Arabidopsis thaliana: one gene and its partners. The protein of the gene in region 3 interacts with the protein of the main gene of each other region in a pairwise test. Each region holds a gene or a part of one and is shown on either strand. Other genes may lie near its edges.

The links.
Region 1: the proteins of AT1G68240 (region 3) and AT5G61620 interact in a two-hybrid assay, tested with the Arabidopsis thaliana proteins (one large-scale study listed by BioGRID).
Region 2: the proteins of AT1G68240 (region 3) and AT4G29100 interact in a two-hybrid assay, tested with the Arabidopsis thaliana proteins (one large-scale study listed by BioGRID).

What each region holds. Positions count from the first base shown.
Region 1 is NC_003076.8:24,770,797-24,774,143, reverse strand, and holds AT5G61620 (myb-like transcription factor family protein), read right to left. Parts: upstream 1,819-3,347; 5' UTR 1,762-1,818; coding exon 1,443-1,761; intron 1,370-1,442; coding exon 1,158-1,369; intron 1,060-1,157; coding exon 637-1,059; downstream 1-636. Other genes in the region: AT5G61630 (uncharacterized protein), read left to right, coding at 142-341; AT5G61610 (Oleosin family protein), read right to left, coding at 2,892-3,110, 3,243-3,347. UniProt on the Arabidopsis thaliana protein: Probable transcription factor involved in somatic embryogenesis. Acts as a positive regulator of BHLH109.
Region 2 is NC_003075.7:14,338,867-14,342,629, reverse strand, and holds the start of AT4G29100 (basic helix-loop-helix (bHLH) DNA-binding superfamily protein), read right to left. Parts: upstream 1,666-3,763; 5' UTR 1,491-1,665; coding exon 1,162-1,490; intron 927-1,161; coding exon 548-926; intron 278-547; coding exon 197-277; intron 1-196.
Region 3 is NC_003070.9:25,574,258-25,577,732, reverse strand, and holds AT1G68240 (basic helix-loop-helix (bHLH) DNA-binding superfamily protein), read left to right. Parts: upstream 1-1,603; 5' UTR 1,604-1,666; coding exon 1,667-1,897; intron 1,898-1,974; coding exon 1,975-2,043; intron 2,044-2,140; coding exon 2,141-2,206; intron 2,207-2,294; coding exon 2,295-2,447; coding exon of another isoform or gene 2,448-2,453; exon of another isoform or gene 2,454-2,515; coding exon 2,516-2,554; 3' UTR 2,555-2,869; downstream 2,870-3,475. Other genes in the region: AT1G68238 (uncharacterized protein), read right to left, coding at 3,055-3,252. UniProt on the Arabidopsis thaliana protein: Transcription factor involved in somatic embryogenesis. Acts as a positive regulator of somatic embryo formation. Acts as a positive regulator of ECP63 by targeting its promoter and inducing its expression.

The DNA of each region.
Region 1 (3,347 bases), on a different chromosome or scaffold from region 3:
ACATGATCAAATTGGATTGCAAATGGTAGAGAGATCATGTCTGCATTTGGCGGTTGTGAAGTTGGGAAATATTTTATGTAACTGTTACATGTTGATACTTTATTCTTTGTGGCACTTATAACATCGATCCAAATTTTGAAGATGTGGATGTTGGGATGAGAGAAGAATCTATTGCGGCTAAGATTGAAGGATTGACGATCGAAGGAGACATCGACAATGATAGCGATGGAACTCAGACCGGTTTCTTGGGTGCCACCTTAGAACTCGGAGATCCTGACAAACCAAACCTCACTGATAGAACCAGACGAGCTTCTAGGAAATTGATCAAAGGATTTTACTAGTTAATCAACACCATTTTTTTAATTTTCTCCCAATGAATGTTGATTTTACTCAATAAACTTCACCAAAACTAAGATTTTTTTTGTTTTGTTTTTGGTTGATAAAGAAGCAGCTAAATATAAATCCAAATATATCTATATTCTTATTTAATCTAATCTGGGAAGAAATAAAAATGATACATAATCCGATTGGCAAAACTTTTGAATATGGAGCTATATATTCAAATAAAACTCAACACCAAAAAAAAGAAGCAATATACCTATATCATGCTTAAATAAACACACAAAAAATGAGATTTCATTTCACATGAATAACGCCATGACCAGTCAAGTCAGAAGCTCCAGTAGCTTGTGGAGGCAAACCGATATGAAGATCCAAACCGTCTTTATTTGTCATATTAGAAGCTTCACTCGGTTGAGACAGAGGCAAACCAATCGGTATATGTCTTGGAACAGGTATACCAGAAGGATGAACAAACCTAACCGGTACTTGAGGGTTGGCATAGTACATTGGATAATTTGGATGGTACATAATAGGTGGAAAGTTGTAGTAAGGTGGTATGGGTTGGTAGATTGGCATATACTCCATTGATAAATTCTGAAACCTGTTCGAAATCTCGGTTTGAGTATGACCTTGTACTACCGGTTGTTGAATTCCGGTTATTGGTTGTTTAGGTGGAGTCTTTGTTGAAGCATCTTGAGAGTTCCTCTCTTTCTCCTTCTGTTTAATGAAAAAACAATTAAACCCTAAATTAAAAAATAGCCCTAGACAAATCAATTGACTCAATGGATTACTTGAGAAACAAGGTAAATAAGTACCTGATCTTCGAGAGAGATGTCAAAGAGACTAGCACGTCTTTTTCTCTTGTCGTTAACGTTTAACCTAATAAAATATTTCTGAGCATGACTTGCGACTTGTGTTGGTGTTCTTGTCGACACGAAACTCTTTGCAATGCCTCTCCAATCTCCTTTTCCGAGTTTGTTTAAACCGATTAAGAAATTACGATGTTCTTCTTCCGTCCATGGCTTCCCTGAATTTGATTTATTCTTATTAATTTCATTGAATTTAGATTATCAAATTGATGAGATTAGAAGATTACGTACCCTTTTTCTTCTCATGAGCAGTTTTACCCTTCTTGGAATGAATCTGACCATCGGAATGATAACCGGTATCATCAACGGCGGCGATAGGATCACCGCTACCGTTACTTTCATCGTTAGCGAGAAGAGCATCAAGGTTTCCCAAACTAAGACTCTTCCTTAACGCCGTTACCTCAGGCGGCCTAATCGGATCAGACGATATATTAACGCCGAACAGTTTAACACTTGCCTTATTAACGCCGTTGAGACAAGTCCGTGCGTTATGGCCATTATGGCCACAGTGTGAGCACGTTTTCGCCACCGTCACCGTCTCCTTCACCATCTCTCTCTCGCCACCAATGTTTTCGGTATCACAAGAATTAGAATCACAAGATCTCGCTAATTGTATTTATACCTTAAACTCTCTTGTGTAATGATATATATATATATATATATATATATATATATGCGGATATGCGTGAGCTGTTATTTGTGAATGTCCTTGGTGTTTTTACATTTTTTTATTTTCCTTAAGAGATAAAGCGTTTCCTTAATTATCTTGTTTTATTTGGAAGTTTTTACCCAAGTCATTATAAGGAAAAATCCAGCAGAATCAGCGTAGGATCATAATCGACGGTTAACATTTTCTTAAGATAGGATTCGTGGAAAATCAGCCGTTAGATTGTTTTCCAGGTAAACATGTACTGGATATTGATCCCGGATATTTAGGAGAGATATTAAATCGTATATTCGATTTTATTTTTTTATTTTCTTTCCTAAGTTACCCATATTTTTATCAATATCAATCCTAATCTTAATATAACTGGAATTTACTTACTTTTATCTTCATCCATATTAGTTAATATCTCATATTTCCTAAGTTACCCATATTTCTATTTCTTCCAAAGTTTTTACATATATATACTCCTATATATATTTGCGATAAATTCAGAGTATAATTTTTTTAAATAACTTTGTGATATAATTCGATCCAATCTAAACGCGTTGAGATCTAATTGGATACTTGGAAATTTAGATCAATATAGGAACAAAGTCCTCGTTTCCTTATTTAGGGAAACCTTTTTTGTTTATTTGTTTATTGCAGTCAGTGTGTGACACATACAAAATCTACGGTGGTAAAAAATATGATTAGTTTGATCAAAAATTAAAATCTAGTAGGTTCTGAGTTTTAGATTTTTATTTAATCTCGACTAAGATTCCGATTGCAATTTTTATATATTAAAATAAAATAAAAAAACATGGTAATCTGACAAATTGAGAGATTCCACCTGTTTAATGTGTTTTTTCATAACTGAAATTTACGCTTTCTAAAGTACATTAATAGCAGCATATTTATAAACAAAAACACATTAGCTTATAGTATTTAATACCTTCAAAATGATAAATTTCGTTTGAACTCTTTATAAGGTAAAAGCGTACCCTTTAAAATAATAACCACCCAAGTCCCAAATGTCATATATGAAAATGGTTTACGTATTTTTTGTCACGAGATGTAAAATATTTATATGCAAAAGCTCCTACACGGGGGACTTTTTGGTATTCTTTCATAAAAATAGATCGTGCTTTAGTAGCATTAGCATCCATGGCGAATCGAAATGGGTGACACCTTTTAGTACAAGTACTTGGGCCGCAACACTTGGGGACAATTGGGTTTTGCTCCACCACCATAACCTACCATTAATTTATGAAGGGAATATTAAAGCAGAACAGTGTTTAATCTTGCTAATCCAAATTCTTTTCCCGGCAATTGCTAAATGTGAAAAAATCATTAACGAAAAAATTTGAACATCACTAATATAGTACCTTTGGTATCTCAGGGATTGACAAATGCTCAACTCCTCCTAAAGGCATATCTTCTTCCACATGCTTATCTCCTTCCGCCGGTTTATCTTTTTGTGGCGGTTTGTC
Region 2 (3,763 bases), on a different chromosome or scaffold from region 3:
AAACAGGAGAGAACAAAAGAGTTACAAAACACAAAACCACACAGCTTATTCTGTGCCCATTCTGTTTTGTTTGCTTCTTCTGTTCTCCTTTGTGTTTGTGTTTTTGTTTTGTTAGTATGATGTCAGGGAGGGAATTTATATACAGAAAACGTTATATAAGTTATCCAAAGTTTCGTTGATATAATCAATTAGTTACCTTGAGGGTTGATTGTGACGAAGGAGAAGGTTGGAGCCTTGGCTTCTTATTAGTAGACCCACCAATCTCTAAGCTGTTACACTGCATCACATATATAGATAACAAACAAAACAAAGATCAATTAGTCATTTAATCAAAAAAAATTCAGAGCAAAACTCATCCTGGTTGCGTGTTGAATTTAGATCCAAACCTTAAAATAAAATATGTTGTCCTGATCTTTTTAAATGACGTTTTAGATTTCACTTTTTCATAGTAGTTGATGTGTTTACTAATTTATGTGTAAAACTAGATATTATTTCCGAGCTTTTTCCGTATATTATCAAAATCTCTGAGATGTGGAAAAAGTGTTACCTCAGAGGATCGATCCGGAGGAGTGTGTCTCCCTTCTGACAAGTGAAGACCATTGTGATTGCTAGAGAAATCCAACATATTATTATTGTTGTTGATGTTATCGTCGTTACTATTGAGGCTTGTTGTGGTAGTTGTTGTAACACAAGATTTGTTAGGAGGTGAGTTCGGGGAAGATATGACATAGCCATTGTTGTTGTTAATGTTACCCTCTTGTTTGATGTCAACAGCCACCATGGAAGCTTGTTGGTGGCTTAACACTTGTTCTTCCCAATTCTCCAATCTTATCTTCCCTTGAAAACCATGGTGTTGTTGTTCATCATGATGATTATGATGGTTCATCATCTCCAATCTCTCTTCCTCTCCCATCATCAATCCACCCCTAAGTTCACAAAGAAAATATCCAAAATATTAGATTGTTTGTTTGATACTTAAAATACAAACACATACATGTATATACGTATATACGTATAACAAAAAGGTAATTAGGACTAAGTAGCAACACACGAGAAAACAAAGAGTGAACTAGTAAGTAAACACAAGATCATGTCATGTGCGTATAGAGAATATTTCATTTTGGAATATTTATAGAGGGAGAGAGATAGAGGGATAGTTACAAAAGAAGTTGGCTAAGGCTCCAAGACTCAGGAGGGAGATCATTGCTTTCAAGCCAAGAAGAGAGATTAGGGTTATTAGGCAAAGACGGTGAAGAAGAAGAGGAAGAAGAAGAAGTCGCCGGAGATGGCAAGAAGTGCGGGAAGGGAGTGGGCATCATCCGTGGTCGGAGATAATTGTTATTAGGAGTCATATGTGGTGGCAACGGCGCCTGCTGATGACCCATCAACGGTGGTGGTGGCCTCATGCCGCCGCTTACGTTCCACCAATTAGGGTTTCCGGCTGCCATCAGCTGCTGAACCGGCGAACTCTCCAACACACCTCTATTCATCACCTTTTATCTCTACTCTCTCTCTCTCTATAGATCTCTTTATGTGTTTACTAATCAGAGGCTTTGGAGAAACGTTGAGAAGTGTTTGATTCTTTAGCTTAAGTAGTTTTAGAGAAGAGAAAGAGAGAGAAAACTCAAAACTAACTTAAATTTTGATCTCATTTGATAACATGTGATGTTAATTTTTTTGGAATTTTTATTTTTGTTTTTTAATTTTGTCTTTTTCCTCCCTCTTTTTTTCGTTCCTTTAATTTTTCTTTTCTATTTTTTTAGATTTATTTGATTGTATATCATATATTTACTTTTTTCCCATGCTTTTTTCCATGCTTTAGCTTTATCTTAAAGTGGGGCAGAGAAAGGTGGTAGCTACTTTTATTATTTAAATTAATACATGAGTTGAGAAAACAAGCAGAAAATATTTTTAAATCAAAGAAAAGGATTATTCGAATATTTTATATACGGTGTATAAATTTTTCGAATATATATTACATATAATTAAATAAATTTTTGGTTATATCACAACTCACAAGTGTCTTGCATCTATGATCTATGCATTCGCCTTTTGATCGAATGTAAATGAATTATCCTTTTTTTTATCCCTATTTTTTTCATTCTTGTAACTTGTTGAATTTTGTTTTTCTGATTAGTAAGATTGCTTCTTTGATCTAACGGTTTAGATTAGCTAACTAGTTCTAAACTTGCAATGATTATATCCTGGGCCAAATACTAGTGTTTTTATTTATAGGTACTAGCCGAGCCAACAATATTTTTTTCTTTCTTTTTGCTTATTTCCTCACTGTATACTAATTAAAAGTGACAAAAAAATTCAATAAAATACGACGGCGTCGTTGTATTATATGTCACATATACCTTTAAAATCACGCAGCTATATGCTTTTTTTAATAACATAGTAATGTTTGTACTTTTAGTTTATTAGTATTTGTTTGTTTTGTTTTGTTAAATAAGTACTTGAATTCGTTAGTATGGACTTTAAAGAACACTGAGTAATAGCATTTATAAATGATTCCAATAATAAAAACTATAATTTTATAGAATAAAATAATAATAATTCCATAGTCAAAAATCATATCCAATTACAAAAAGGTAAGAAAATTAAAGACAAGAACGATTCTGGTATTATTTTCAACGAAAGATTCTATTTTTGCTGACGTAAAAAGTACTGAATTGTGTTGCGTAGGGTTTTCTGTAATTGTAACAATGCAAATACATCTAACGAACTCTGTACTTAACTAATCAATTACATAAAAACGAGTCACAACGTCGGTATGCGACTTTATTACATTTTTTTTTTCACTGCGACTTTATTACATATATGATCAAGTTGCTCTCAACATTTTTATATAATAATTAATTAGCAAAAAAAAACATTTTCTAAAAGTGATACTATATATATATATTTTTTCTCTCATTTTCGTTGAAAGGTAAAGGTAAGAACATATATGTCTTGATATCATTTCATCGTGGAATAAAGTCACTGTGGATTTTTGTATATTGTGTTTTGAAAAATATTCTCAAAGATGTTTTCAGCGTATGGAAGATGTTAGTATCAAAATAACAAAATATTTTTAACATAAACTGAGGACAAAAATTATGAGACATGTAAAAAAAAAAACTTATTTTGCAAAATTTTTAAAACATGTTATTTTAAAAAACTAAGTATAATCTTAATCAACGACTATAATTACCTTTACAGTTTTCTTTTTACTGATAATATAAAAAATATATTTCAAATCAGAGAAATTTTGTTAAAACTGTTTACTATATGTTAAATGTTCCTTGTCCTAAAATAAATAGATATACTAAACATTCTTAACATGACATAGTATTTTTTGGATTGTGTATTTACTTTAGAATGAAAAAATGTATCAAACAGTTTTCTATAGATAAGCGTAATAAAATATGTGCACATGTAGGTGCGATTGTATTTGTGTGTATACAAACAATTGTTCGTTCTTTATTTCACTCTGTTAGACACAAGATGACGAGAGCATTGTGTCATATGACGCATACACTTAATTTTAAATTCTAACCTGAACGAGTCATTTTTTTTGTCCAAGCATGATCAGAAAAATACAAATTAACAATAAATACCATTTTTTTTTGCCTACAACGAAGAAGACCAGTAATCTCGAAGGAATCAATGTCCTAGGGTTTGGAGATCCCTAATATTCTGTTTCCCAGTGATTTCAATTTCCAAGAAATCCTTACATATACTTGTAATATACGAGTCAGAAAACATACAATACAATACA
Region 3 (3,475 bases):
TATATTATATTATATCTAAAATAAAATAAATAATATAAATATTATTATTTTGGCAAAAAAACTATATTAATATTGTTTTAAAGAAAAAAAACTTTGTAGCTAAAATGATAAACATATATAAGTGATTTTTTTTAACTTACATATCTCGTTAACGTTTTTTTGTTTTTTCGTTAACGTTTATAATTTGTAAGAAAGATTTAAAAATGAAATATTTTCATAAATATTTAAATATTAGATATTTGATCCGCGGTTTGGGCCTGTAGAGAATCTTAAATTCATTTTTTTTTTCTGTTTTTATTTTCAATCTTTGAGCAAAACAAATAGTTAATGATGTTATAGATTCAATTGTTTAACAAAAACTAACTTAAGAAATTAATTTAATTGAATGATTTTTTTTATAACTAAATTGAATGATATTGCAAATATCTATTTACAACATTAAATATATTTGTTACTATAATGATGTTAGTGTAAAAAATATATTCATTGTTGCACCCAAAACATTCATAATTAAATGTTAGTTTTAAACTTGGCAATCGAAATTTTATATTATTTTTCTTTCAAATCGCTCATATGATGGCAGGTTAACCAAATATGTTTTGCTTGTCCGTTTTTTTTTTCTATCTGTCTCCAATTGTTCAAATAATATATACGAGATATTGAAGAAATGGTTGAGAGAAAAAAATGAAATGGTTGAGAGAAAAAAATGAAATGGTTGAGGTTTATTTAAGAAGGAGAAGTAACGAGAGTGTGCATGTATCCACAAATAACCCAAATTAAAATAGTACATCTAGCTATAAAAAACGTCCCGTCTCAATGAAGTAATCAGACGACGGTCTTATGTATTTGGGTCGATGGCGAAGCTATTCGATAGAGAGTTCAAGATCTCTGATCAGCACATGTTTATATGAAAGATTTTGGTGCATGACTCCTTAAAATATGTATGAGTATTGAAGAGACACGTAACTCGATAAATATATGCAAACGTACGTTCTAAATATCACATCAGAAGCTAGCTTGCACAGTGTTACAAGCCGGTCAAAACAAATTTCTGACTAGAAACATTTTCTTGCCCTTGCATGGACATGTCCATGCATGTTGTTGATATAATAGAAAGTTTATCTTGTTCTCAATCAAAATAAATAATTCTTAAATATTGAAATATGTCATTTTTGTTCGAACTTGTAATAGGAGTTTTACAGTTCTCTTTTCCAACTAGATAATGTTTTTCCAATTTTAATGCAATTTGTTGTATCCATAGCTAGCTTGAGAAGAAAAATAAAATACTAAAGATTAAGAACTGCCGTTCATGAACAAGAATGACACTATTCCCCTGCCGTTCTTAGAATTTCAAGAAAGAGCAAGAAAGCAAATATAAGAAAACAACAAAAATATATGTTTTCTTCTGTCTAATGGATGTGCGTAAATGTGGAACACATAAATATAATAATATAATGGAAAATGAGTAAATAAATTGTTAGAGAAAACCATGGGACGAAGCAAAATCATCTTCTTTGCTTCCCGCTCAATTGTTGGAACTTTCAAAAGAAGCTTCTTGTATCTCCCCTATATATATATAGCTTATGGCTGAACTAACTAGTTTATCCTTAACCCTCCACTTTTCACTCTTTAACAAACTCAAAATCCTCAATTTAGTCAATCATCAATGGAGAGAAACAACCGCAACGAGGGGACTCACGAAGAAGAGCAATGTTCGCTTTCTGATATTATTTATTCGTTTTGTTCAGAAAATCATAGTGAATTAAACCCTTTGCAAGAGATATTCGGTGTTACCAAAAACAATGATCATGAGAAACACGACGAGGAGCCAGACGAGGAAAGTTACCGTATGGCTAAACGGCAACGTTCCATGGAATATCGTATGATGATGGAGAAGGTGAAGATGACTTAATCTCCTTCTTCTCTTACGTGATTCCCTAGCTAATTTATATTTTTGCTTTCTAAACTTTGTAGAAAAGACGAAAGGAGATCAAAGATAAAGTAGATATTTTGCAGGGGTTGATGCCTAATCATTGCACAAAGGTTAACTATTACTTAATTTACTCCATATTTTTTATATATTAGAGTCTAATACAATATCAAGTTTCGAATATCGAGTTTCTTGTGTGTTTATCTACAGCCGGACCTTGCATCGAAGCTTGAAAACATCATTGAATACATTAAAAGTTTGAAATATCAAGTAGATGTAAGCATTAAACTATATCTAATTTAATTTAGTTACTTGTATCCATTAGAGTATATATGTTCTTATGTGTTATGTGGATGTGGTCCAGGTTATGTCAATGGCATACACAACAACTCCGGTTTACACACCACCATTTTATGCAGCAGCTCAAGCACCATGTATGTCTCCTTGGGGCTATTATACGCCAGGAGTTCCAATGATGCCTCAGCAAAACATGACCTATATCCCGCAATATCCTCAGGTTTGATCAAATTAAAGTTTAATCTGATTCCACAGATTCTGATTTCTGCCATCAATCTTTTATCACAGGTATATGGAACAGTGCCGCCAAATCAAACTCAACCTTAAAACAAGCTCTAGCTATGTGGCTTTTTAAGACCCTCCGGCTTTAGACTCGTTGCTGTTTATATAGACTGTCTTTGTAAACTAAGATATGTACATAGATACATAAATACATACGTAGTTTTATGTATAACTTTTAGTTTGATGCCACAATATGTAAAAACACCTGTTTTTTATGTTCTGTTTTGGTTGAGCATTGTTCCTCTGTTATTTATGTTCTGTTTTGCTCAACCTTTTTCTTTGTTGAATGTAAGTTAAATAAACAACAAAGATGTTATGTTACGTGTAATAGTACGTTTGTACCAAACATTACTACAACCCTAGTTTGATAATTTTTATCTTGAATCATAGAAAACGAACTAGATCACTAAAATGTTAAATTCAAGAAGCAGAATACATTCATTGGCTACAAATTATCTACACACTTTAACTTTTTTTATTAAAGCAAGAAGCCAAAATAGTTTTATCTTTAAATGTTACTAAAGTAAACAAAAAATGCTTCCCGTTTAACCTCCACAACCACCACCGCAGCCAGCGGCGCAACTGGATCCATTGACATCGTCGTTAGTGTGAGGTTTAGAAGCTCGGTCACTGCATGAGAAAATCACGGCTGCTATGACGGAGAAAGCCACAACAGCTGCCCAAATGTAGAGTGAGACTTCACCATTACCCGCCGCTATTACCGCGAGTTCTCCTCTCACCATTGAAAGAGTTTTTGTGCATCGCTTTGTGACAATTGTTGAGACTAGTTGATAAAGAGAGTTGTAATTGGCATATTTTCAAATGTGTGGTTTTGCGTTTTCGAGTCAGAAGTCACCAAAAAAAAGATGCGACGACTCTTTCTTATATATACTGCCCTTTGGTTTAACTCTAGGGTCAGTGGATCACAAGCTAGTAGTTAACCAATTGTGTGTGCGGCCACTTGAT